Oreochromis niloticus: one gene and its partner. The protein of the gene in region 1 purifies or fractionates together with the protein of each later gene. This does not show direct contact. Links are inferred from orthologs where the notes say so. Each region holds a gene or a part of one and is shown on either strand. Other genes may lie near its edges.

Region 1 (12,776 bases):
CAAAATTTGCTATGGAACTGTGAATAATTGCATCACGTGGAATGGAGCACTCAGTGCATTTGTTACTTTTACAGGGTGTACTGCTTCAGTGTGTGTGTGTGTGTGTGTGTGTGCATGAGTGGGTGGGTGACTGTAGCTCCAGCTAGCAGGGAACGGCGTCACGTCGCATGCTTTGAATTACTGTACATTTGCGGCTGGTAGACAGGCTGCTGCCAACTGTCTCTGAGTGGATCAGACAGCTAACATCAGCACTGTGGGCTCTGCCACGAGTCCCACTTTAATTCCCTCTCACTTTTTCCAGCGTGCTCTCCTTTTCTTTCTGCTGGAGTTGTCTCGGCGCTCTGTCTCATTTTTGCGTGCTCTTCTCCATGCCTCTATTTTTAATCAACTTCACACTCTCTGCCATTTTTTTTTTTCATTTTTCTCTCAAATCGCAAAGTATATACAACAGACACACAGACACTGACACCCACACACATTCCTATAGCGCGGCTCAGGCAAACACCCACATTTGTCGGAGGGTTTACACGGTTCGCCACTCAGCTAATCTTTGTGGCCTTGCACACTGAAGTCTGCCTTCTGTCGAAATCCGATTATAAAAATGTAAAAACAAAAGCAGAGTCAGGTGACTACTTAGGGCGCATTACAACAGCGTGATTGCTTTTGCTTTAAACTGGCCCCCTCCTGTGGATCCTGCCACAGGTGGTGCCAGGGAAAGTACTGATGACATCATGGGCAAAGGTTTCAACAAAGACGAGCATTCCTCACTCAGTCATAATCCGCCGCCTTCATATACGGCTCGTCTTTAACCAGACAGAACCGGTCAGGACGCTTTTCTCTCACACCTCCTTTTTGCTCTGTGACAGCTCCTTTATTTCGCCCCCTCCCTCTGCCTTATCAGCACCACTATTAACCCTTCTTTTCTCTAACTGAAGCAAAGTGTTAATTGGTTTGACACAAAGGCACTTGACACTGTATTTCCAGTGTATCTTGCCAGGAACTCCCACACGACGTGTCTTCTGTTTTTGTCAAATGACTTTAGGAATTTGGCATGAGTTGATTTTTTCTTTTTTCCGGCACTACTAAGAGGACATTGATTCACAAAGGCAATTTTCACAAGACCCGTGTCCTTACTTATCCTCACTATTGCAGTCTAATCTTGTATCATATATTACTAGCAATAAGATAAATTGTCCTTTTTATGTAAATCTACTTCATGGGACATACATTATATACAGGAAGTGGTCATACGTGGAAACTAATGCCATGAAGTTCCCAGCAAAGTTTCTTTGGTGATGTTAATGCCAAAGAAGGTTTGGAGCTCTTCAGTTACTGAGTCAACAGACTGCCGGAGACATTTACGGACTGTGCACCTCAGTGCTTATAATACCACTTTACACCTGATCGTGGAATATCGGGGGGAAGAAAGTTCATGAATAGACTTGTTGCAATGATGGTTTCCTGTTACAGTGCCACACTCAAATTCACTTTGCACTTCAGAGTGATCCATTATTTCACAAATGCTTAGGTTAAGGCACTGGGCAGCATGCATCTGTGGCAATGAGACTGAAAACACCCAAATTCAAAAATTAGTGGTGGCCCAGTACTTTCATCCATATATTGTGGGTCTACGATGTGCTATATTCCCTGCAAAGTTCACATTGTCAGTGTGAGTGTTAGAGTCAAGGCCTACACACATTTTGTCTGTAGTTTCTTAAGGTGAAACTTTTTCCCTACCCCTACTTTTTGCAACAACAACAACAAAAAAACCCTCACATTCAAGAATGCTTGTGCTGGACATTGAAATATGCCTAAATATCCATTGCCCAGCATTTATGGGTGGGGGAAAAAACCTTGAATCTTTTTAAAGCACACTGCTTTCATCTAAATCAAATTTGCAACAACTGATTTTTTTGGATGACTTGGGAACAGCACTAATAAATCAGCTGATTTCTTGATACATAAACTGTTTATTTCTACCAGTTTTATCACCAGCCGAGCTTCTGCCTTAATCATGCAATCAGTCGGTTTTCTTTACCTGTTTTCCAGTCTGTAACTAGGATTAGGTGAAAACTACCAGGTCGATTGCCATTAAACTTGGCAAAGAGGTAGGCATTGGCTTTGATTTACCCTAATTTACGCCCCGATCTAGCTCGATTACTCCTGACTCGTCCGGTGTGACTCGAGCAATGCTGAAGTGGCAAATAGTTTAGCCGTCTTATCGCAAAATCATTGACTAATAGTAAGTCAAGTTGATTTGTTGAGTGTCTGAATTCACGAGGATGCCCAAACTAGATGTCCTGTTTTTTCTTTTCCAATTTTCAATGAGCTACCATCCAGAACTGCAGTCAGAGTGGTACTACGAAGCCACGCTGTTTAAAAAACATGCATAATGTGTCCCTAAAATGCAATTAGACAGCACCATATGCTGCTTCAACACACTTTTGGTTGACTGTTCTTTCCCCACAACAACCCTTTTATATAAAAAGTAATCCTGGTAGGTTTTCTTATATTATAGCTGCTATACAGCAGGTTCGTTTCTTAAAGTGTTTTGAATACATAACACCATTGGTGTGAATGCATTTCTTCTCCACTGCTGTATCTGTAATGAGAAGGAGGACTGTAATAGATGAAGTTCATTTTCCAATCCTCCACACAGATGATGGGAACATAAACACAACATTCACAGTACAAACTTTCGGCTTTGATTGAACACAGTAACCACCCTCTGGCTGTTGCTGTTCATGCTGAAAGCTCTTAAAGAACACCACTGTATGTTTAGAGTGCAGTCCTTAATAATGCTAGCCTCTCTTACAAATATTAACGCTTTATTTGTCTTAATTCAATCTATATAGCAGGCGTCAGGGGTTAAAGTCCATCATTAAATGATTAAACCAAGTTTGATGTTCTAATATGCAGTATAACAAATAAGAATGTTGAAGTGATGCAAGGCCGCGTGTCTCTGCTCTCCGAAGAATGTGGATCGAATTTTTAGACAGTTCTGGATCCAGAAGTCGCTGCTATGCATTTTTTTCTTTTAAGTTTATAACAAAATCAAATCAGAAACAATTACAGGACACGGCAACAGTCATGCTGCAGTGACATAACAGCTCTTCTGTTGCTTTACAAATAATCTGATCTCAGTCATCTTCACAAGGCTTACATCCTCTATTTCAGCTCCTTGTCACTTTTTTTTTTTTTTTGCTCATCCCTCATAAACAACAAGTGAAACAATGCACAGCCGGCGTCACACGATAAGTCACTGACGCTCAGGAAGGTTTCCCTTCCCTTTATTTATTTTTTTCGTTTTTTTCACCCGTAGGTCACTTCTCTTAAAAAGAAAAAAAAACAAACCTCATCTGTTGCATACATACACCTATAGATATACAATACAGTGCACAGTGCATCCCTCACTTCTTTATATTTTGCTTCCAAAAAGTTAGATTTTCTGTAATTTCCTCATTTTTAAAGCGGTCCCTGGGTTTGAAGGTCTTACAAAGTTTTATTTTGGACACTGACTCACCGAGTCTTTGTACATGACCATTTTCAGAGTTGGTTTTTTTTTTGGTTTTTTTTGTTAAGGCACTTAACACTGACCTATGAGTCATTCAAGCATTTAAAAAGACATAACTCAAGGGATGAATCAGTGTTGTATGTACACACAACAGACAACTTAGCAAAGAAACAACTGTAATTGTATTTTTAGGCACTTTGTTACAAAAGCACATCAGTTGCTTTCATTTCTTTGGCTGAATCTAAAAAAAAAAAATACCAAAGAATAAATAGTTTATTAGACATCAAATAAAATAGCATTTATGTGATTCTCAAAACGCTATTAGCCAAAAACTTGCCTTGGCATGATATGCAGTGTGTCCTCAAAAAATCTGAGGATGCACTTCACCTGATCCATCTACCAAAGCCTTATCAGAAAGGGTCTCAATGGAAAGGATGGCAGCCAAGAAGGTATTCTTAAGGAAGGGAAACAGGAAGAAAAATGTTGAAATTTTTGGTTGAAATCAATATCAATATGTACAGAGGAGATCAGGAGAGAGCAACAACAGTGGGTGTCTGCAGCCATCTGTTACACGGTGGAGGCTCTGTCATGGTTTGGACTGCATTTCAGGATTTTGTCAAAATTGATGCAATTATGAAAGCTGAAAATACAGTCAAATTTTAATCTACCATGTAATATCATCTGGAAAGCATCTGATTGATTGTTTCCAACACACCTATTTCTGAAGACCAATTAAAGGCTGTGTTGAAAAATAAAGGTGGTCATATCAAATACTGACTTTTAAGCTCATTAGACTCGTACAAATGTTTTTTTTTCTTTATATCCTGTATGTCTATGTATGTTTGTAGATGTTTTACCTGCTCCACCCATTTCCAATTTTCCTATAGCAAAATATAAAGAAATGAAGGGTAGCTCAAGACTTTTATGCGGTACTGTAAAAACAGAAGTGTTATATCACACTACTCCCACACAGGCTATGCAAATGATCCCTCAACTGCACATCTTTTTATCCAGCAAAGATCCCTTTCTGAGGAGGTCAAAGATTCTCCCTTAAATTCAAGATGACAAATTGGAAAAGCTGTAAAGATTGTTGTTTTTCCACAAGTTGGCTATGTGAACTAATCAACCCAGCAGCCATTAATACAGACTCGCTCAGGATAAGCTTGCAAATAACTCAATCACACACTTCCTGTTTTTCAGCACGTAGCCTGTGACCTCAGAAGGAGGAGCACAGGATGTGCTCCAAGTGGAAGATACAGATAGAGATTTCCTAGACAGTTTTAATTGAAACACATGTTGAACTTTGGAGGAGCAGATAAGTTGCATCTGTTGGACAACTGGATGAGTGTTATGCTGTTTGTTCCTGTTACGGTGATTGAGTTTCAAGTCTGATCAACTTCTAGAGAAAACTACATGGTTTATTTGATAGTTCGTGTTTATTTAATGTTTCTGTCTATACACAGTGAAATATGCTTCCATTTGGAGCTTTAAGTCTCACCACTTTTCAGCAGCTTCCTGTGAATAAACAACACAGCTGGGAGAGGACTGTGAATTCGGTATTTTTTTCTCAGATGTTCTGCCAGGCATGAGAACTCATCTGTGACCAGATCACTCAGTTTTTAATCAGCAGTTAATTTACCCAAGCTTTTCTGGAGGGGGGGGTTAAACCAAAACTCTCCTCTCTGCTCCCCACTTTCCTGTAAAATTCACTACTGTGCCGTTGGTCACAAGACATTTAATTAGTCACTGTAATGTTTCAAAACACAGCAATCTGTCTGTCCGCTGGTGAATGAGAAGTGAGACACACGCCAGACAGCATTTACTTTAAATGTGTCTAGAACTTGCCCAATCTTTCTTTCGTCACACGCCTGTCTAAGTGAGTGGAGGGCATGTGATTTATTTATACTAGTTGTTTGGCTCTGTTTCTTTATTTGTATGTGTTGCAAATTACCCCGGCAAGGTCTAATGTAGGTACGCCTCGATATCTTCTGCTTCCCCCCCTCCCGCTCCCTAGACATGAGGCTTTAGACCACAGCCCCATTCCAGATAAGATGTTGTCAGCAGGAACCACATTTGAGAGGATGTTTATTGTTGTGATGTAGTCTAAATGGTGGAAAAATGTTATGTTGTCATTAAATAGTAGCTAACTTTCTGCATAAACTGCAGAACTGTTTGGGTTTCTTTTCTCCTCATTGTATTAAATCCCTGTTTCCATAATATATTACTCCATATCCTCATATGGATTTGAGTTTCAGTTGAACACGTCAAAGTCACACATGTTGATGGTTCACATTTTCTTCCATCAAACTTTCTTTTAACAGTTCTCTGGGAGCATGTAGGAACTCAGGACCTATTGACATAGTTCTGAAAAAAAAAAGTATTTTGTGTACTTCACTTATTCTATGATTGCTCGTGCTGCTGTTTTTGAGACCGCTACGATCATCTTTATTTTATTACGTGCCAAATGTTCTCAGGAGGGCAGCAGGGTTCTTTGAGTCCCGTCCATCATGCTTTGGTATTGTCTAGCTGAAATGAGCAAGCCGTCTTTGAGAAAGATGATGGATAATAGCATATGCTGCTACAAAACCTTTATGTATCATTCTGTATTAAAGTTTTCTTTACAAATGTAAACCTTATCTTTGCCTATATTTCCTTACTGCCTCACAGATGCTTGCTTTTAAACTGCAAGCTGATTAAAAAAAACCCTGATGGTCCAGAGGAAGCAGTGTCCAGGATATCTAAAAACTATTTCAAATTTTCACAGTCCACAGGACAGTTTTCCACTTCAAGCCTACTTAAAATACGATGCTTAGAGAAGGTTCCAGGTCTTCTTGAGCTAACTTAATGTATGTTATTTCTCTAATTTGCATTCTTGGACGCAGCATTTGTTCATTTCCACCACTGTTCCTGAGCCCATGCAGTGCTTTCTACTGCAGAGTCATCCAGAGCTATGCAGGTCTGTTTTTCAGCCTTTTCCGTCGCATACAAGGATTTCTTTTCATTCTCTAAATCTTATGGTTGACTTTACATGACATAAATTGCTACAAAACTATTTCAGCTCAATACAATTTTTGATTTTATTTACATAGCAGCCAAACAACAGTCACCTCAAAGTGCTTTATATTGTAAGGTATAAAGCAACAATCAGATGACCCCCGTAACCAAGCAGTTGGCAACAGTGGGAAGGAAAAACTCCCTTTTAACAGGAAGAACCAGGCTGGTGGGGGGCTGCGTGTGCAGGATTAAAGACACACTATGAAAGACATCAAGAGTTTACTAACAATTAAATGCAAAGTGGTGTATGCACACATGGCAAAAAGAGGTGAGTAAGAATAAACTATTTGCTAGCAAAGTCTTTTGGTTAACCCCTCCCGAGCTTTACTTCTCAAAGATTCATCCTCTGTGGTATGCTCTTTTTATTCCCAGTCATTTTACTAATTAGTTGAAAAAAATTTCCACCAGATGTTTTCTTCAGCGTTCCATAACTTTTCCAAGCGTTGAGTCCCTATCCTATTATGATCTGCAAATAACTAATTACTAGTAAAATTTCCTTGTGACAATGCATCTGATCTTTTTGTAAACAACCGTTAAACTTTAGGTTTATTAGGTATCATCAGAAGTAAGAGCGAGTCCACTTCAGTGCTCTGCATGGAGGGTGTCACACTTTGGGATCACTCATTTGTTCACTTGAGTTCCAACTTGTTGCACATTAGCCGGTTGTTACTAGTAAGTTACACATTACATACTCAGGTTAATGTAGCTGGAGTGTGTTACCACTACACGCTGATCAAAGTCTCGTGGCGTGATGATTTGCAGACTTCTAAGAAACCCCCTCTGCTTGCATGAAACAGTGTTACACACGTCACCCAGTCACAACACACGGTCTTCAGCGATTAATGCAGTGAAATGTGTTAAAATGTTGCTGTTTTACTTTGCTTTGCAAAGCTTCGCAATTTCCTCCTTCATTATTATTCTAGGGAACGGGTTGTGATTGGCTCGCAGCCTGACGTCACGCGAAGTGCTCGAAGCATGAAAAAAAGAAAAAGCTCCTCGCTGGTGCTCAGACCGTGTCTGTTTCTCCTCTCTCAGGAAAAATCCGTAAAGTTTGAACACTAAAAGAAAAAAAAAAAAGAGTTAAACTCATGAAAGAAACCGGACGAAGGAGCGAGCGTAGGTCGAACTCGTGTCACTGTTTTGTTTTTCGCTGTATGTGTGGGGTTTTTTAAAGACTTTAGAGTAGTTTGGGTTTTGTAAAGCGACTTTCCAGCTCTCTGGGATTGTCTCTCAACGCGAAGTTCCCGAGATGAACTTCGATCCGGTGGTCGGAAAACTTCATGTAAGTAAACACGACACTTGCTTTCTAAATACGCTCTTTGTTGAATGTGTACCACTCTATTTGCGTGTGTCCCGTGGATTGTTGATTCATTAACGCTCCTAACTTGATAGCTTCTATAAAAATCATTTACCAAAGTAGCCTCTTAATTCAAGCTGCCGCTCGGATAATCTAAAGGTTTATAATCTAAAAGTATATATTTTAAAAAAGGCTTCTGTCTCATTAAGTTAAAGCGAAGAGCGGGCAAAGATAAGAGTGTCGTGGAAGCTGAAATCACGTCCAGGCCTGTGAACTTGAAGATGAAACAAGTCCGTGCATTGTCCCAGACACAGGAAGCAACACTGTGTTTATTGTTGTTAATGATTAAAGTGTTTATTTCTGGAGAAAATGCAGAAATACTCTGGTTTTTGTGTCTTTGCTCTCTTCAGTGCATGTGCTGTATCATTCACTCACTCGCCCCCCTCTCTCTTCCAACACTACAGCCACCATCTGTGTTGGACATCATGCGGTCACACTCCTCAGACATTCAGCATATGACGGCTCTCGGTCTGTCACAGCGGATGTAGCTGGCCCTCTAGCCGCTATTAATGAGAACTGTGCGGCCGTGGGCCTCCTGCCTCAAACGAGCTTTAAATCAAATTGTGTAGAATGTGAGAAGCATGACTGAATGTGTAATCAGAAAGCTAAGAATTCACCTTGCCAGTTAGTCCATAACAACTCTCAGCTATTTCTCTCTTGAAGTTTATTCCACTCAGACCTTCACAGAGATGTCTTTTCATTCCTCCCCTGTTGTTTTTTCCAACTGTGCCGCGCATACTACAAGCACTGTGAGCAGACTGGAAGCCTTTGTCGTGCATTAAAAGTACTTTGATTAATGCAAAATACGCATTTGAATTAGAGGAGATCTATTTCCTTTCTCACACAGAGTTTACTGGATTACACCAGGATAACGCTACACGAGATAAGATGTGGAAAATGATATGAGTTCCTAATGACGGAACAAATCAAGCGTTGGCAGCTTGTTTGGCTGATGAGGGTAGTGGCGTTTGTCAGTGGCATTTCATCACACATGCCCACTGTGGCTCTGCTCACTGTAAATGGAGCTGTTTAAAAGTAAATGTAATATCTTCTGATGGGCCTGGAGCTCCAGTGTTTGTTTTCCCCGTTGTCTGATCTGCGTTTTAAGTCATGCAGTGTTCCATTACTGAAATCCGATTTACTTCTCCGGGTGGCAAAGTCAATGTTTATCTCTTTTGTAAACCACAGTACATTCTGGAGGCCTCGCCAGCAGGCCTTGTTGCTAAGGGACTATGAGGAAACTTCAGCCCCTCCCCATCTCCTCCTCCCCACCTCTCTAATCCCCCCCCTACACACACACACACACACACATGCACCCCTCCAAATTGCCCGAGTGTACGTGCCTGGCCGTCCAGTAAACTTCCTGTCTTGAGTATACAGATTTGCTGATATTAGTGGCATCAATTTACTTCTTAGAATTGTCATGCCCATGCAAATGTACACTAGATTTTTATCTGTGATTGTTTACTGTGTGTCTGGGTGTTGGTTCACACAGGAAATAGTCCTCTCCGTCTCTGTGGACTACACAGACAAGGGCAGGACAGACATCTGGGACAAGCGGAGGCCAAACTATGACACTGGGGACAAGCAGTGGTCGGCAACGCTAGTGTTCCTAATACTGTAGCCACTGCTTATTGCCGCTCTGCTCGGTGACCATGTGAACAGTTATAACCATGCCTGTGGCTTAGAGAAGCTGTAGAGAGGCCGAATGATGCAATGCAGCGTAACTCAGTGTCTGATACCAGGTGGTGTCTGTGCCTTTTTATGTGGGCTCTTCAGAGAGCCCAGGATGTTTTATTGTTAGCCAATTGATTATCCTGTGTGGACCTGTAGTTGCCAAGGTGAATCACCCTACTCTTATCAAAGGGCTCGCTGACTCATGGAGGGAGTGCCACCTGTTCAGGTGCTGCCTACCCACGTAATGCATACCAACACAGGCGAGTCACCGCTCACATCTGAATGGTCCCGAACTGAAATAAGTGGAGATAATTTACTCCACGTCAAACATCCCGACTATCAAGATAAACAGAATAACCTCATCTAGTTTCATTCTGATATGTTGGCTCCTAACCCTGCGTCACACTGTGAGTGCTAAAAGGTAATCTTTACTGGAAGGCACTCTTTTCCATGTCAGAAAGTGCTACGAAGGATTGTTGTGGACATAGAAGCCTGTTTCTAGACGTTACCTGATATAGGTGCCCATTAAAACAGTTAATTTTTATTTATATAGCAAGAAATCACGACCACAGATCCCTACAATAGACCCTAAGATAATACAGAGAAAAACCCAGCAATCAGACGACCCCCCCCCCCCACGAGCACGCACTTGGTGACAGTGGGAAGGAAAAACTTTTTTTTTAACAGGACGAAACCTCCAGCAGAACTAGGCTCAGGGACAGGCTGCTATTTGCCACCATATCCAAGTTATGTTTAGTTATGCCTATTTGAGAATAGCACATGTAATGGTCCAATGAATGCACAGAGACAACGTTTTATTATGGATAACTTGTGTCATCTACGAAGGCAGTCAAAACAAAACACAGTGTTTCATTAGTAAGGATAACCCTGGAAAAAGCTATGTCCTGCTGCATATTAGAAAAGGCAAGTGTGGGCAATGTCCTCATCCGATTCTAATAACTGTCTGGAGTTCAAGTGAGAACATGGCTTAAAATAGCTAAAAGAGTAGAGTGTGTTGTATGAGCACATGGCACATAAGTAACTGTTCATATATACAAGAACATCATGAAGTAAAAACAGCACTGTGATGTGTCTCTCTCCAAATGTTGCTAACACAAATTTGGAATTTTGATTATAGATAATTCAGTCATGCAGTTACTCCTCCACTGTTTTATTGCTTGTTTCAGTCACTTTTTACACAAAGCTCCACATGGTCCCTGATCCTATCTTTTGTGGCGTGACGGACAGTTTGGTATTACTGATCAGTGATTCCTTTTGGTTTTGTACTGGTTTAACTAAAGCTCGAAAATTGCTTTTATTACTTTTATTTTGAATTTTCGGCTTCCACCGAGTATAAAGAATCATTGTGCGCGATTCTGTTTTTTAATAGTGCCACTGTTGGTCTCATGTTAAAATATTTTACACTGTAATTATTTTTGAATTTCATAGAAATTCACGAGTAAAATTATTTATTTATTTTTAAAGAAAATCCCGACTGATCCAACTCATATTTTTATTTCTGTTTGTTTACTATGTTTCTGTTGCTATTTCTTTACTTCAAAATTTGCTGTGTATTTAATGTCGGTCATCTTTTCATTTCAACGCCTTTGAGCATTTAGCCAGGGCGAAGTGATGTCACACAGCAGATCAATGATGACATCGCTGATTTTGATCTTGTTTGCCGATATGCCAATATCAAGGTTGATATCAGCTGACAGCATTCCTTTTGATTATTGAATTATTCCATGATTTCCTTTCCTTAATAGTCGATAATAATCGATTAACTTAGTCAAAAGTACAGTCGTGGCCTAAAGGCACCTTCCAAACCTGACGTACTATGAAGCCAGATCAGAAAAAGGTTTTGCAGCGGTGCTATATCTTCTGATTTCCTGCTCTCCTGGAATGAATGAGCAGATTATAATAAAAGTGTTGAGTCTCGGAACAAGCTCAACCTTTGTCTAGAAAATGGAAGTCTGTTTACAAAGGCATAAATCTGGTGCAAATTCCAGCCACTGATGGTCACTTAAGTCCTTGTTGACCTGCTACACCAGTCACATATTCTACATTTTTTGCAGCGGTGTGTTTATAGAGAACTCTATAAACTGCCAGCACTTCAAACTGCCCCCCTCCCTTTTACACAAAGATGAGCTTTAGTGAAGCTAATGTGATTGTCTTTAAAGCGAGGTGATGGATTCCTGCTCATTCTTAAATCTGTTAGTCATCCTTTCTTTGCTCTTTTTTTTTATTCCCTCCCTGCAGGAGTTGTCTTGTGATTCACCGCTTAGCTTCCCTGTGACAGGCCTAATCACAATCTGAAAAGGCCAAGTTAATAGCCCGGCAGCACACAAATATGATTTGTGGATTGACATTCAAATTGGATGTCCATAACGTTCTGTATGAGTCACAATGACGTGGCGTACACGTACGAGCAGTCAACCTTTACAGCCAACCGAGACCACCTCGACCTCGTAACAAAAATAATTCGAACGAAAAACTACAAAAGTGTCACGCTGCACCTGCTTACAACTGTGTGGAACCTTTTGAACTTTCAGCAACCCACTTTGGCTGCATTGTTTTGATGAGTGAAACATTTTTTGCGGTAAACATCAACGTCAGGGTATCAGTAATTTCGACAACTTGTGGTCAAGAGTCTCTCAGGAAATTCAATACAGCTGTCGTCATCGCGGATCATCGTTCTTTCTCTTTTTCTTTTTTTTTCTTTTTTCCCCCTGGTAAATGTCACCAAACCTGCTTGTGACACACTGTCACCCTCATCTAATCAGTGGAGCGCACCTCCTGAGGAAACTCAAGAATTCGTGCTATGGAGCTGCAGCTTCCCTGAGTTATAAATATCCAGCCTAGCGGATATGCTGTGGGTCTAATCGGGTGCTGGGCCTGCTCTAAGGCAGGCTGCTGTGCAGGGAACAGTTTGGAGCTGAACCCTGCATGAAGCCTCTGTATTGTCTCGAGCTTCCTGTGCTCCCTGAGAGGAGGGGGCAGCCGCTTTTCACACGCTCCCCACACATGCACTGTATGTGTGCTTGTGTGCTATATTATGTGTGTGTGTGCGTGCATTGCGTATGCGGCCTAACAATGTGGTTTTGAAACTGTTAGCGCCTTCTTGTTCTTAACTGTACTGCACTGACACGGGAGCCATTCTCTTCATTTTCTATC
Region 2 (13,106 bases), on another chromosome or scaffold:
TAATTAGTGACTTTGTCGTCATCTATTAGCGACCTGTCAAACCTATTTAGTTAAACCTTGCCACAGAATTGCCTAGGAAAAAAATCTTTAGACAATATTGCTTTGCTACTCCCACTGCTATCCTGATGGGTTCTCTCTCTCCACAGCTACAGCTGCACCCACATGGAGGCAGTGCAGCATATCATGAAAAAGAGTTAAGACGTATCCTATTGCTTCCAACTTTGACTCTCACTGGTCATTCCATCCATCCATCTTCTTCCACTTATCCAATTCAGGGTCATGGCAGAGCCTATCCCAGCTGTCACAGGGCGAGAGGCAGGCTACACCCTGGATAGCTCGCCAGTCTGTTGAAGGGCTAACACAGAGACAAAAACAACCATTCACACTTACAATCACACCTTTTGACAAGTCACAATCACCAATTAACCTAACATGTAGTCATATCTCTGGACTGTGGGAGGAAGCCGGAGTACTTGGAGAGAACCCACACAGGGAGAAGGAGAACATGCAAATTCACGTTAACTACTTTAATTCAGAGTCTAGCCATAACCTCACAGATGTGAAACAGAAATTCAAAAATTCCTCCACAATAATGAGATAGCTGCTGCAGGACAATGATTTAACTGCAAAAAGACGCAGGCACTGTGTCTTAACCTTGCTTTTATATATGACTATAACAAGACAACAACCAGCTGGCAACCAGTTGCGTCAAGTCTTCTATTGCAAAGAAACGTTGCAGATGAGTTATGCTCACTGGAGCAGACGGAGATCAACTGCAACGAGCTAGCAACCTGTCTGTTAAACCAGACAATTATTTACAAACATTTGCCAATCCATCTGTGAGTGACTGCAGTTAGTATGAGTTGGGCTAGGATTCTCTGGAGACAGGTTGCCTCCCACTAAGCGACCTTTGCAATTACCTTAAAAGCAATCGAGGTTGAAGGTGTTGCATGCTCAGTCTGTTAGAGATCAATTGGCTGCTGCAAGTGCTTTGAATCGGTCACTAAATGTGCACAAGGAGGAGGTTGCGGTCCTATTTTAATTCTAGTGTGACTGAGCCATTAGCAACATTTCTACTCTTCAGTTTGCCATTTAATGTCAATGTCAATTTTTAAAGTAGGAAAAATACAACTTTCATTATGCACTAAAAGCCTTGTTTGTTTTCTCAATTTGCCATTAACAGTGTATAAGATAGGTTTGAGCATGGTTGATAAATACCTGCTGGTAATTACCTATTCACTGTGCCTGAGTAAAGCGGCGGCTTAAAATTTAACTGATCTAACGGCACAACTTTATCAACAGAGGTATGCAAACATAGCAGTCAGTGACAGAAATGCACTAAAGCAGGTGAAAGCTTGTGACACACTAGTAACCAGTCTTACTGTACAAAAGAACGAAGATAAAGCCTGTTATTGTCTCACATGGGAACAGGCAACTTCCCTTAGGGGATAGTACAGTTAATCTTACACAATCAAAACATTCACACAGACTCAGCAAACAAAAACGCAAATACTGCCAGCAATCACCACCTAAATATAAACAGGGACAGCTTTAAATGTTTCCGCTGCAAGCACATGTAAACGTCTGTCACATCATATCAGAAAGGTTTGACTTAGGTGTTTAATAAAGAGCTGGTACAGCGATGTGTTCTCCTTTCGTCTCATATTTGATGCAGTGCCCACAAGCACTGTTTATTAAATGCTCTGTGCAAACAGTATGTTTAACAGTTCCTACATATGTCAACTGTATGTGTGTTTTAAAGGCGTTGGGTATTTTCTCATACACTTTTGTACAACTGACGATATAGAAGTGATGCCTGCTTTTTTAAGATGCAATTCATAAGTAAAAAAAAACTACAGCCTCCATAACACAGGCCTAGAGACCAGTCTGTGAACCCCTAGGGAAAAATGTGTTCTCTGATTGAATCGCATGTGATTTATGGCAGTCATTGGGTGAAATTGGTTGCAAAGTGGCATACAGTGTGGTGCCTAAAACATTTTTCCTAGTGACCCAGGGTTGAGGGATACGTCACTGAATGGTCTTGATACCTGTGTGACTTAAGCATAAACAAGCATTAATTTCTCAATAAGTCAATGAATTAATTGACAGAAAATGACTCAACAACTACCTTAATAAAAAATTTATCATATTAGCAGATATTAGTGGATATGATATCACACTGGATAGCTCCGCATATTTTGATTTTTACATCAGATACCCTTCCTGATTTATGGCCTTTTTAAGTGATTCATATCTACTCCCAGGACATAACCAGGGATCTTTTGCTTGTTAGGCGAGTGTGTAAACCCATACACTATGTATCCATTTAGATCAAATATATAAAATATATGTTCTGGATATTTGCTCACCTTCTGAATACACTTTAAGATGTTCAAAACTACAGTTTGGCTTTCACGATACGACAAAAAGCTGTGATCATGCGACAATGTTTAACAGTGCAACGATATATGTTGGCTATACAGATGCTATTACTTTCTGCTTTATTTGTAACAGAAAAAACACTATTTTGAACATTACAGCAACGATTAGGTTCATATAGATGAAAGTTCCTAATACATGTCAAGGAATGTTTTGCAGTGTTTTTAATCACATATTGTAAGATTTATTGGTCATTAATAACTTTAACACACATTTACAATATTCTCTTATATTTTAACGACTAAGTAAATAATCTGCAGGTAAAAAAATATTGTTAAGCGCTATATGCATGACGGTTAAATTCTGTGCTGATGCCAATGTTAAAATTTTGTTAATTTTGTTGTCTCTGTGTAATTTATTTCCTCTTTTGTACAAAAGAAACAAAGAAGCCTTCATTAAGATTAACTGTAAAGTTCACATCAGTGAACATTTAGGCATCACAAAACCGATGTGAAACACGGGGCCGTGATTATACATCAGTGGATCCCTACGAATACTGGTAGCTGTAGGAGTAGTTCAGCACAAACATCATGCTTCTCGGCCTCTCATGAACTCATGTCGGAGAGATACACTGTACATCATGGAGACAGCCAACACACAGACAGAGCTCATACCTGGCAGCGCAGTGAATCAGCCGCCCCGCGGCTCTCTCTGCATGCCAACCACATATCCAGCTGACTCAAGACCGCACGCAACATGATAAAACTGACTCCTCTGAAGACTTTAAAGTATGCACAGAAACCAATTTAAATGTTAAATAATAGCCAACAAAAAGAAAATGCTCTAATCTGAAATCCCCACATATTCAGACTCTACAGGGAGGAATTGTGAGGTTTCTTGTCTGCTTGTGGACTCATAGGGACAACAACAAACATGGTGATGCAGCTCTTCTCTGCTGGAAGGAAAGGAAGGGCAGGGGGCTGCCTGCCTGTGTGATCCTCTGGCGCTGTGGGTGAGTACAATGGAAAATAGTCCCCATTGCTAATCCATGGCAGGCTAATTACAGCTTTGATCCCCTAAGCGTGTGCATCACTGTTGGTGGGTGGGAAGGAGGCAACACACTACTGGGCTCAATACCGGTATGGCAAAACTTGTTTTGGCTCAAAGATGTCTCAGTTTACTCGCATTCGGTGCAGAGGTGGAACCATTGTGCTGTCAAATCTCACATACACTATATTAATACAAAGGTCATAACAGTCCTTAAACCATCAGCCAATAGTTTTATGAGCACACAATCCTTCATCGAGCAAATCCACCAGCTTCACAATATGATCCAAAGTCACCGACAAGGTTACCATTTACTTCACTGAGCAGCACATGAAACCCAACTCCTGGAGAAATGAGACACAGATTAAGTGGGTAACTGGAGTTTCTGTCTAAAATAGGCCGCAGCTCTGATGATAGCCTAGTCCCAAAACACATGGTGGTGGAAATACAGCAAGGGAGGAGGAGGAGAGAGGAGGATGAAGGCTGAGGATGAGCAGCAGATGGCTTGGAATTATCTAGATCTTGAGCTCCACACCTTTGCTCATTATGCCATTAGTGTAATGGTGGCTTATCAGCCTAGACCAATATCACTCCAAGCAGTATCCTTTTAATTTATTGTTTGCTGTGTTGAGCCACAGCAAAATGTCAGTATGGAAGAAGGAATGTAAAAAGAAAGATGCAAACAGGCTTAGCTTGATGATCACTTTGAAAAACCTCCACCACCTCCAATTCATAACCTGTGGTGTTTTAAAGCAGGTTTTATGGGTTTTCAAGTGGATTGCATTAGTTATCCCACTATCAATCAGGACCCCCCCCCCCCACACACACACACCTCAATGATAGTCATTTAATGTGTATTAATAAAGCATATTTAAATGTTATTATTTAATGTAAGTGCAGTTACACTAATACTGCTTGGTTGACACGCAATCCCAAGGCACTTGGCTCAAAGCAAACAAATAGACCTCAGCACCCAATTTAGAAACTACTTATCTGGAGTGATACAAAGCTCGGTCCAAGTACAGTTTATTAAGTATTATTTTTGTTTGTTTGTTTTTCCTTTTCTTTTTTTTTAATCCAGCCTTACTTTAGTTTCAGTAATTGTTCCTCATGATCAGCTTATCAGTCATCTATTAAGCAGCTTGAACAGCCCTAACCTCCACGAATGATGGTATATCAATAAAGTTTGATTAACTTATTGACTGATTAATTGATCGAGCAGCAGAGGCATGCATTAGGTGAATTAGCACAGCATTGTTTAAGTTATTTGTTCATACCTAAGCCATTCCAGCATAAAACTATAGGAATGCATCTATGACGGGACCTGAAATCACCTTGAAGCTGCTGCAAGTTTAAAGTTATTATGGTATAAGGGCTTAAAACACACACACACAAACAGACTGGCCATTCTAGTGTGTTTCTACACATGGGTTATTTACTCTGAAGCAATGAATCCGACTAAAAAAAAGTTATAAATGCAGTCGAGAGTTTTAAACCTGGGACTTCCGCTTGTTTTTTTGTTTTTTACATCAATTTCAAAATAAAACCGTTTGTTAAAAATGTGCTGCAACGTATTGTCAAATTCAGCTACGTGTTTGTATAAATTGCGGTGGATACATGTAGTTGGTGGTGTAATGTCACAACACAATCACTGTTTAACCTTAAACACTGAAGACATCGTGCAGTCCTAACGGTCACGCAGCTATGTTAGCCAGGTAGTTAACTGCTAGCAAACGGTTGCTCCGACACTGCCACGAAGCCTGAACCTGTACGCCAACGTTAGCTACCTTAGCTCGGCTCGAATGCCGTTAGCACGCCTGTTACAGTCAGCAGCTGTTGGACATCCTCGTTTTTCCATCAGTCGTGACCAGGCCGGGGCGGCTGACTGCTGCCAGCCTGGCTCCAGCCCAGAGCAATCTGCTGTGTGGTCCTTTTCCTAAAAGACACCCCGCAGACGTTGAAGCCTCCTTGCCGCGGGTTTACATCCACATCAACACAACAACTGTGCTGTGATGTTCCAACTCAGCAGCAGCAGCAGCAGCAGCAGCAGCCCCGGTCTGCGACTACCTGGAAAATCCTTCCTCTTGTAATAGTAAATTAAATACTCACTCAGACTGAAGCTGGTTATAGTGATGCTACACAGTGGCTGTTTTGGGGAACCGGGAACGGTGTTTGGTCAGAGCGGTCACCCGGGTCGTGTATCTTCCCTTCTTCAAATGGTCCCTCTCTCCGCCAGCAGTACCTCCGTATGATCTCTCCACACTGCAATGATGGTGCTGAGGCACAGCGAGACACGATTGGCCAGGCTGAGCGGAACTCAGTGAGCTTTGATAAATCTCCGGCGGCCTGCAGGGGGAGTAGCAGTGGTGCGTTCAAGTCCATTGGAAAAGTTGCAATGGTTTAACACGCTCATATTGCCACAAATAGCTGTTAAAATAATTTTAAAAATATGTATGATTATCCCTCCACAGTCTGAAACCCATTATAAGCCACTGAATCTGTTTAAGAAAGAAAAGATAAAAAGATTAAGATAAGACTTTATTATCCCGTTGTTACAGCAGTTAAAACTTAAACCCAACAAACATATGAGATGTGATATCTTAAATAGCTGAATGGTATGCAGCTCAGTAAAACAATACAGCATGACAAAGCATATATCTAGAGAAGGTAAGACTATTGTGAAATCAGAACAAAAACAGCTTGATAAATGTAATAAAACCAGCATAGCAAATACATAACTTAAACAAATATTCAGAGCTTTGCTGTTTAATTTTTAATAAAGAATCATTTAGATTACATTAAATTAAGTTTAAATTGTTACAATTTAAACATAATTGTACCAGATGATGTATGAATAATAAAGGGACTTATTACAGCAGATTTGCCTCTGACATAGATTTGCTTCTGTGCAACAGGGCAAGCATGACTGTTTTGTTCCACAGTATGACCGAAGAGGAGAGGGTCCACCTACCCCTTGCTGCAACACTCAGTGGGTGAAAGGTGTTGGACAGGAAGCTGTTTCTAAAGACTTTATTTTCACAGAGTTTAGTGAGGCTTCTGGTTGAACCTCGAGAGATCTTACAGGCAGAGAAGCAGGATTATCATCTTTAGTGGTTCAGCGTTTAACGTGAGGCTCAAATCTCTCAGCACACGACTATCCCAGCATGACACAGCATGATAAACACAAAATCCAAAGAATGAACTAATGTCACTTTGTTGTGTAAAATGCAGTCATAGGTGTTCAAACTACAAAGCCCCGCTCTTTTTAAAAGAAAATATACTGTAGCTGGTTTTATACATGATGGGCAAAAAGATTCTTTGCTGAGGGAAAAAGTCAGGTTATTGCAAATTATGATCCACTTAAGTGATACATTTATCTTTTTTCCAACTTGTATGAGAAAATTATTTTCTCTCTGGTAAAAACAAACAAACAAACAAACAAACAATAAAACAAAAATAAAAAGAATCTATTGCATTGACAAATTCATTTATATAGCACATTTAATTCTATGTAAAAATCAAAATGCTTAACATAGAAGCAAAAAACACTTTACAGAGAGTTAAACACAGTTACATTTTACACATTTTACACAGTTAAATTTAGGCCTGTGAGAAAAAACAAGGTTTTGAGTCTGTTTTTGGATTAGACAGAGATGTAACTGACCTCAGCACCACAGTTATGCCTGATTTAGACTTCCGCAGGAAATCTGCATCATAACTTACAACGTAACCTCGAAATTTCCTTTAACCCTTCGCAGCAACCTTCTAATTAACATGAGGTGCACCTCCCAAGACATGTAACCCTACGTTGGGGTCGATGCAGCCGACAACGATTGAGTGGCGTGTGGAAGGTTGCAGCTGACAATTGTCATAAGTTAGACTGTAAACTTTTCGCAGAAGTCAACCTTAACTGAAAACACCCTCACCGCATTTAGATCTAATTTTGTAACTGATGACCTGGGTTCTTTATGAACCATATTAGTGTCTTGATTATTCCATATTTTTCAGTGCTTTTTAAAAAAATCTGCAGACAGTATATTTTCTTGGAAGGTCCTGGAGGTGAGGCTCTTCACCGCTCGTGCTTGTGCCATGACTTCATTTGTGGGTGTGGTCTATCGGCTGCCATTTTTCTTTGCTTTCCCTTTCGGTTGTGCCATTGCGCAGTTTTTGTAAAAGGACAGAACTTATATGGTATTCATCCGGTTAAGTTTTCTTTGTTAAGCGGATCCTCGCTGGTTTCATTTTACGTTGGGAAGTATTTGGTAAATCCCCTCCCTCGGGTTTTTAAGTGGTGCGTCACTTCTATAGTTTCCCTTCTTCTGCTTTGCTACGTGTTTGTTGCAGGACTCTTTTCGGTAAGTTCTCTCTATAATTTCGTCTATTAGTGATGGGTTATTATATTTTCACGACTTTTTGTGGATCTTAACATGGCGATTATTGTGACCCACAGGCTTTGACTACAATTCTTTATTCTGGACTCATCACCTCTTAAAGTTTTACCAAATTCCACATGGCTGTTCCGGAACAATTTCAGCTACATGCTATAAATGAAATCGCGGAAGCTCTCAGCAGCAATGAACGCAGTAGGCTCTTCTATCTATGTGAAAGCTTGGACACGGACCACAGTGTGGCTTGTATGAAGGAGATGCTCAGATCAAAAGTGACGCACCATCAAAACGCTCACCTGTTTCTGGCACAGCTCATGTTTTGTTTGGGGCGTTTGGATATCCTAAGGAAGGTGTGTAAAGTCAGCAGGGATGACTTGGAGAGGACCAGACAAATGGTCCCAAGTTTCAGGTAAGACATCCTTTAAGATGAGCTGATTAATCCTAAAGATTTGAAGAATTGAAGTTAACAGTGTTTGTTCCACTTAATGCAGAGTATTGATGGCAGAATTAAGTGAGGAGCTGGACACCGGAGATTTGGACAGTATTAAATTCCTGTTAACTTGCAAATTATCTCGTGAAAAGCTTGAGAAGACAAAGGTAAGAAAACACACAAAAAACCCCAGAATGAATGAGGCATGATTTTGTTTTCACTCATTCTGAAATGTATGTGGGTGGGGATTTATTATTACCGTAACAAACCATGCTGCAGTCAATGATGGGACCCCCCCCCTTTGTGTTACAGAGTTTCCTGGATATTATTGTTGAACTTGAAAAGCTGGATTCAGTCTCACCAGAAAGACTTGACGTCGTAGAGGAGTGCTTGAGAAACATTGGCAGGATTGATCTAGTCAAAAAACTGACCACTTACAAGAATTCAGGTTAGACTGTGTTTCTGTGTTTCCCTTTTCCCTTTATATACTGAAGGGCTTAAAATAGTATCTCCATGAGAAAGGTTTGTAACAGTTTTGCAGTGAGAAGTGGGAAACACTTCCCTACTAGTTACACAGAACTGGTTTAAGTTTTATGTTCCTCGTCAGTATAGCATACCCGAAACTATTGATACTCACAATCACTCACAATTAATGCAAATATCTATCTCAGTATTTCAGAAACTGCTGATCTACTTGGATTTTCCCACGTCACCATCTCTAGGGTTTACAGAAAATGGTACAAAAACAAGAACTTATCCAGTGGGCGAAAATGCCATGTTGATGTCAGAGGTCAGAGGATAAGGGTCAGACTGCTTCAAGCTGATAGGAAGGCAACAGTAACCCAAATAACTACTCGTTACAACCAAGGTACCCAGATGAGCATCTCTGAATGCGCAACACGTTGAAGCTTGAAGGAGATGGGCAACAGCAGCAGACCACACCAGGTGATTTCCATGGGTTCACCAAAACTGGACGTCAGACGATCAGAAAAATGTGGTTGGGTCTGCCGAGTTTCACTTTCTGATGGTTCAGATGGTAGGGTCAGAATTTGGCTTAAACAACGAAAAAAGCATAGATTTGGATCCATTCTGCTTTGCGTTAATGATTCACACTGTTGTTGTTGGTGGTGTAATGGTGTGGGAGATATTTTATTGCCCCCCTTAGTATTGTTTAGCACTACAGTCTACCTGAGTATTGTTGCTGATCATGTCCATCCCTTTATGATCTCAGTGTGCCCATCTTCTGATGGCTGCTTCCAACAGGATAACGCGCCACATGACAAAGCTCGCATCGTCTCATCCTGGTTTCTTGAAACATGACGATGAGTTCACTGCAAATGGCCCCCACAGTCACCAGATCGCAATCTGATAGAGCACCTCTGGGATGTGGTGGAACGGGAGATTTTCCACATTGATGTTTAGCAGCAAATGCGTGACGCTATCAAGCTGACATGGACCAAAATCTCTGAGGAATGTTTCCAGCACCTTGTTGAATTTATGCCGTTGAGAAGAATGGAGGCAGTTCTGAAGGCAAAAAGGCATTCTACCCAGTATTAGCAAGATGTACCTAATAATGTGGCTGGTGAGTGTAGTAAGCAAAGAATTGGAAGTTTATTACATTTTCCTTACCAAAAACTCAGTATTAAAGGTAAACACATTTTTCAGTTTGTGACAACCTGTCCTGAATTTAGCCTACCTTTGGCCCTTGTTCACCTGGGACTGGCACCTGAGACCCTAAACTGGATAAACAGCTAAGAAAATGAATGGATGGATGGACTTTTTTTGTGGCTGTGCTCTGTCATGATGTTCAGCAACTTTGAAGCAAAAGTTAAAAGATTATGATCATAAAAAAATGACATCAAAATGCATTTCAGTTTTATTTAACCCCTGCAACCATGAGCCCGCCTTGCTTATTTAGTCCACTATAAAGTGAAGTTCAGGGTAATCGTACTTAAGACATCACATGGATTCATTGAGACCTTTCCCTTTAGGGTAGATACAATTTTCAGTACTAATTTAATGCTGTTTATTTAATGTGTTGGTATGTTTCAAATGTAATAGGATATTTTTTCTTTAAACAAGGACAACAATAGAACAGCAAACACAGAGACATTATGTATGTATATTTGCCTGTCTTTTACAGCTAGGGCACCTGAACAGCAGCGAAATTTGTCTCTGCAGCAACCCCGTAGAATTTCTGTGAGTGAGACACTTTACAGATGTTAGTTCACATTTCCCATAATGTTTTCTCCACTAAAGCCATAAAAATATCTCCTCTTTCTTTTCCTCTACAGCATGTTACACAAGAACGCTGCATGGGTAAGACTAGCAAAATACCACAGATGTGTAGCCTAAGACTATATTTGTAATCAAAATACCTTTTCATCCCCATGAGACACATATTGACAGATATCTAGTCTCACAGGGGCTTTACAGCTGGAAACCCCCTGTTGGCCCTGGTGTTTACTTTCTTCTTCTGCTAAACCATAACACTCTTTGTTTGCAGTAGAAGTGAGCCCACGACTAGGTGCCTGCGTACAGCCGCGCTCTGAGGTGAGGATTCCCCTCCCTCTCTGAGTATTTGATTATATTTTCAACTGTTGAATGACTCAATTGTATTTACAACATTTCCCCACTTTCTCATTTGAATTTCAGAGTGGGCCAGATTGCTATAAATTTAACACTAATCCCAGAGGACACTGTGTGATCATAGACTGCGTGGGTAATGATGGAGGTGAGACACAAAGCACTTTGTACTTTTCTACTTAAACAGAAGTACCAAAATCACAGTGTAGAAATCCTTAATTAGAGGTATAGTTGTGCATCTATAATCCTGCTGGGGGAGAAAAATAAATGGATGATCACCACATACTGTAATAGGTTTTAAAGCTGATGCATCATTGTGTACACAGGATTTTACAGTTATAGGTTTATCTGTATTCGATGTATTATTGGGTAGTTTCCAAACGAGGGACCAGCCCCATCCTAGAAAAATTCTTAATGAGAGAAGAAAAAGAAAACTGTTGTGCTACTCAGATTGTATTTCTTTGGGAATTTCTTTTATGTCTGCAGCTTTCGTGAAGAGGGAAGCTCATTTTACTTATTTGTGGTTTCTTGACAGTTGTTAAAATGTAGCTATTTTAGAAGGCAGGGAAAATTCAAAGGGTGTGAGCTTCTAAAAGAAAGAGCAATGTGTTATATTTTATAAGCTTAACGTGTGTGTTTTATTGTAGCAGTATAATTATAAAAAGTCTGATGTAACTACAGCTGAAACATAAATTTAGTGTAATTCAAGAACAAACAGTGTAGGACAGAAGCTCAAATGTAATTAAAAGTGCTTTACAGCTGCATATAACTGCCTAACAGGGGTACTTTTTGCATGTTGCAAGTTTTTGCTGTCAAAATGTGCATTTTAATCATTGTATTCAGATCATAAATGTTCCCTTACACTTTCAGTAGTTTTGGTTGCCACTGATCTGTGTTTAAAAAATGTAAAGCTACATTTGTCTTTTTAAATTATTGTCAAGGTGATGCTTAAATTCTCGTTTCATCTTTGCTCACTCCTTCAGAAAAATTGGAACAAACATTTAAGGCTCTTCACTTCAGCGTGGATGTCCACCAGTATCTGAGTTCTGATGAGGTGTTTTCAGCTCTCAATATGATTCTCAATAAGATGGAGAAACTCAGAAATGATAGCTTTGTGTGCTGCATCATTAGCCGTGGCACAGAAAGTCAACTTTTGGGCACAGATTCGACTGGATATGGATTTTCTATCAACGAAGTCAGGCGTCTTTTCAATGCTAATAGATGCCCGTCGTTGGCGGGCAAGCCCAAACTTTTCTTCATCCAGAGATACAACGTACCTAAGTTGTCCCCGCGCCCCAGGATGAACCTAGATGATGAGCACCTCGAGACAGATGGCTGTGATGGGGCTGTCACAGCAGCTATTCCTATGGATGCAGATGTGTTCTGGAGTCACTGCTGGACAGATGAGCGTCAGCTGGAAGAAGAGGAACATAGCTCTGTGTATGTGAACGCTCTGACAAATGCTTTGCGCAAAGCCCAAAACAGGTATAAACACTATCTAACTTTACCCCATCATCATGGTAGTTTTCTTATAAGTTTCTTATAAGCTAAACTGTTATTTGTTTGTGCTCTTACAGGAAAATTAAGATTGATGATATTCAAATGGAGGTGAACAATGTCGTCTTTGAACACAGCAGAAGTAATCCACAAGCCAACTACCACCTTGATGTAAAACACACCCTGAGGAGAGATCTGTACTTACAATAAAGAATTTATTTACTATTTGTTTGCTAAACACCGTGAAGTATCTGGTACCAGCAGATAGACCTTAGAGTCACTGTGGCTCCTCAGCTGAATTCTCCTGATACCCTTCTGTAACTAGATGTTAAATTCAGTTAGTGTGGGGATGGAAAAGTTAAACATCCACACTGATAATTAGTTACGGCAGCTCGAACTCAAGTTAATTATTTGCTTATCAGTAACTTAGTGCCTCCTCAGTGCTTTTGCAGCACTGAGGAGGCCACCGACTTTGGAGCGGAGGCGACTGTCCAGGTCCTGTTTCCTTGTGATAAAAAAAGAGGACATTCATCAGCTTGCGCAGCTAAACTATACTTGTGGACTTCTTAATCTTTGAGCGCAGGTGTCTCCATCCCAATGCCACGGGTCTCTGAAATCATGCACGTAGCCGTGAAGTCTGCCTTTACAAACATTTGTGAAAAAATGGGCCGTTCTAAAGAGCTCACCAAGTGCAGTGCTGCAATACGATACCACTGCCAGTGAAAGTTCTTGGCTCCTAGATATTCAGCAATCAACTGTAAGTGGTATGATTGGAAATG

What was found.
Region 2: the proteins of tnfrsfa (region 1) and cflara purify together in Homo sapiens (affinity purification with western blotting; 5 studies listed by BioGRID and IntAct, with this or other methods). This does not show direct contact. The link is inferred for Oreochromis niloticus from reciprocal best matches to the Homo sapiens genes TNFRSF10A and CFLAR.

The regions. Positions count from the first base shown.
Region 1 is NC_031972.2:13,494,139-13,506,914, reverse strand, and holds the start of tnfrsfa (tumor necrosis factor receptor superfamily, member a), read left to right. Parts: upstream 1-7,540; 5' UTR 7,541-7,817; coding exon 7,818-7,850; intron 7,851-12,776. UniProt on the Homo sapiens protein: Receptor for the cytotoxic ligand TNFSF10/TRAIL. The adapter molecule FADD recruits caspase-8 to the activated receptor.
Region 2 is NC_031987.2:13,977,483-13,990,588, reverse strand, and holds the start of cflara (CASP8 and FADD-like apoptosis regulator a), read left to right. Parts: upstream 1-7,541; 5' UTR 7,542-7,781; intron 7,782-7,876; 5' UTR 7,877-7,936; coding exon 7,937-8,223; intron 8,224-8,305; coding exon 8,306-8,411; intron 8,412-8,556; coding exon 8,557-8,692; intron 8,693-10,387; coding exon 10,388-10,443; intron 10,444-10,538; coding exon 10,539-10,563; intron 10,564-10,750; coding exon 10,751-10,797; intron 10,798-10,899; coding exon 10,900-10,978; intron 10,979-11,813; coding exon 11,814-12,315; intron 12,316-12,407; coding exon 12,408-12,537; 3' UTR 12,538-13,106. UniProt on the Homo sapiens protein: Apoptosis regulator protein which may function as a crucial link between cell survival and cell death pathways in mammalian cells. Acts as an inhibitor of TNFRSF6 mediated apoptosis.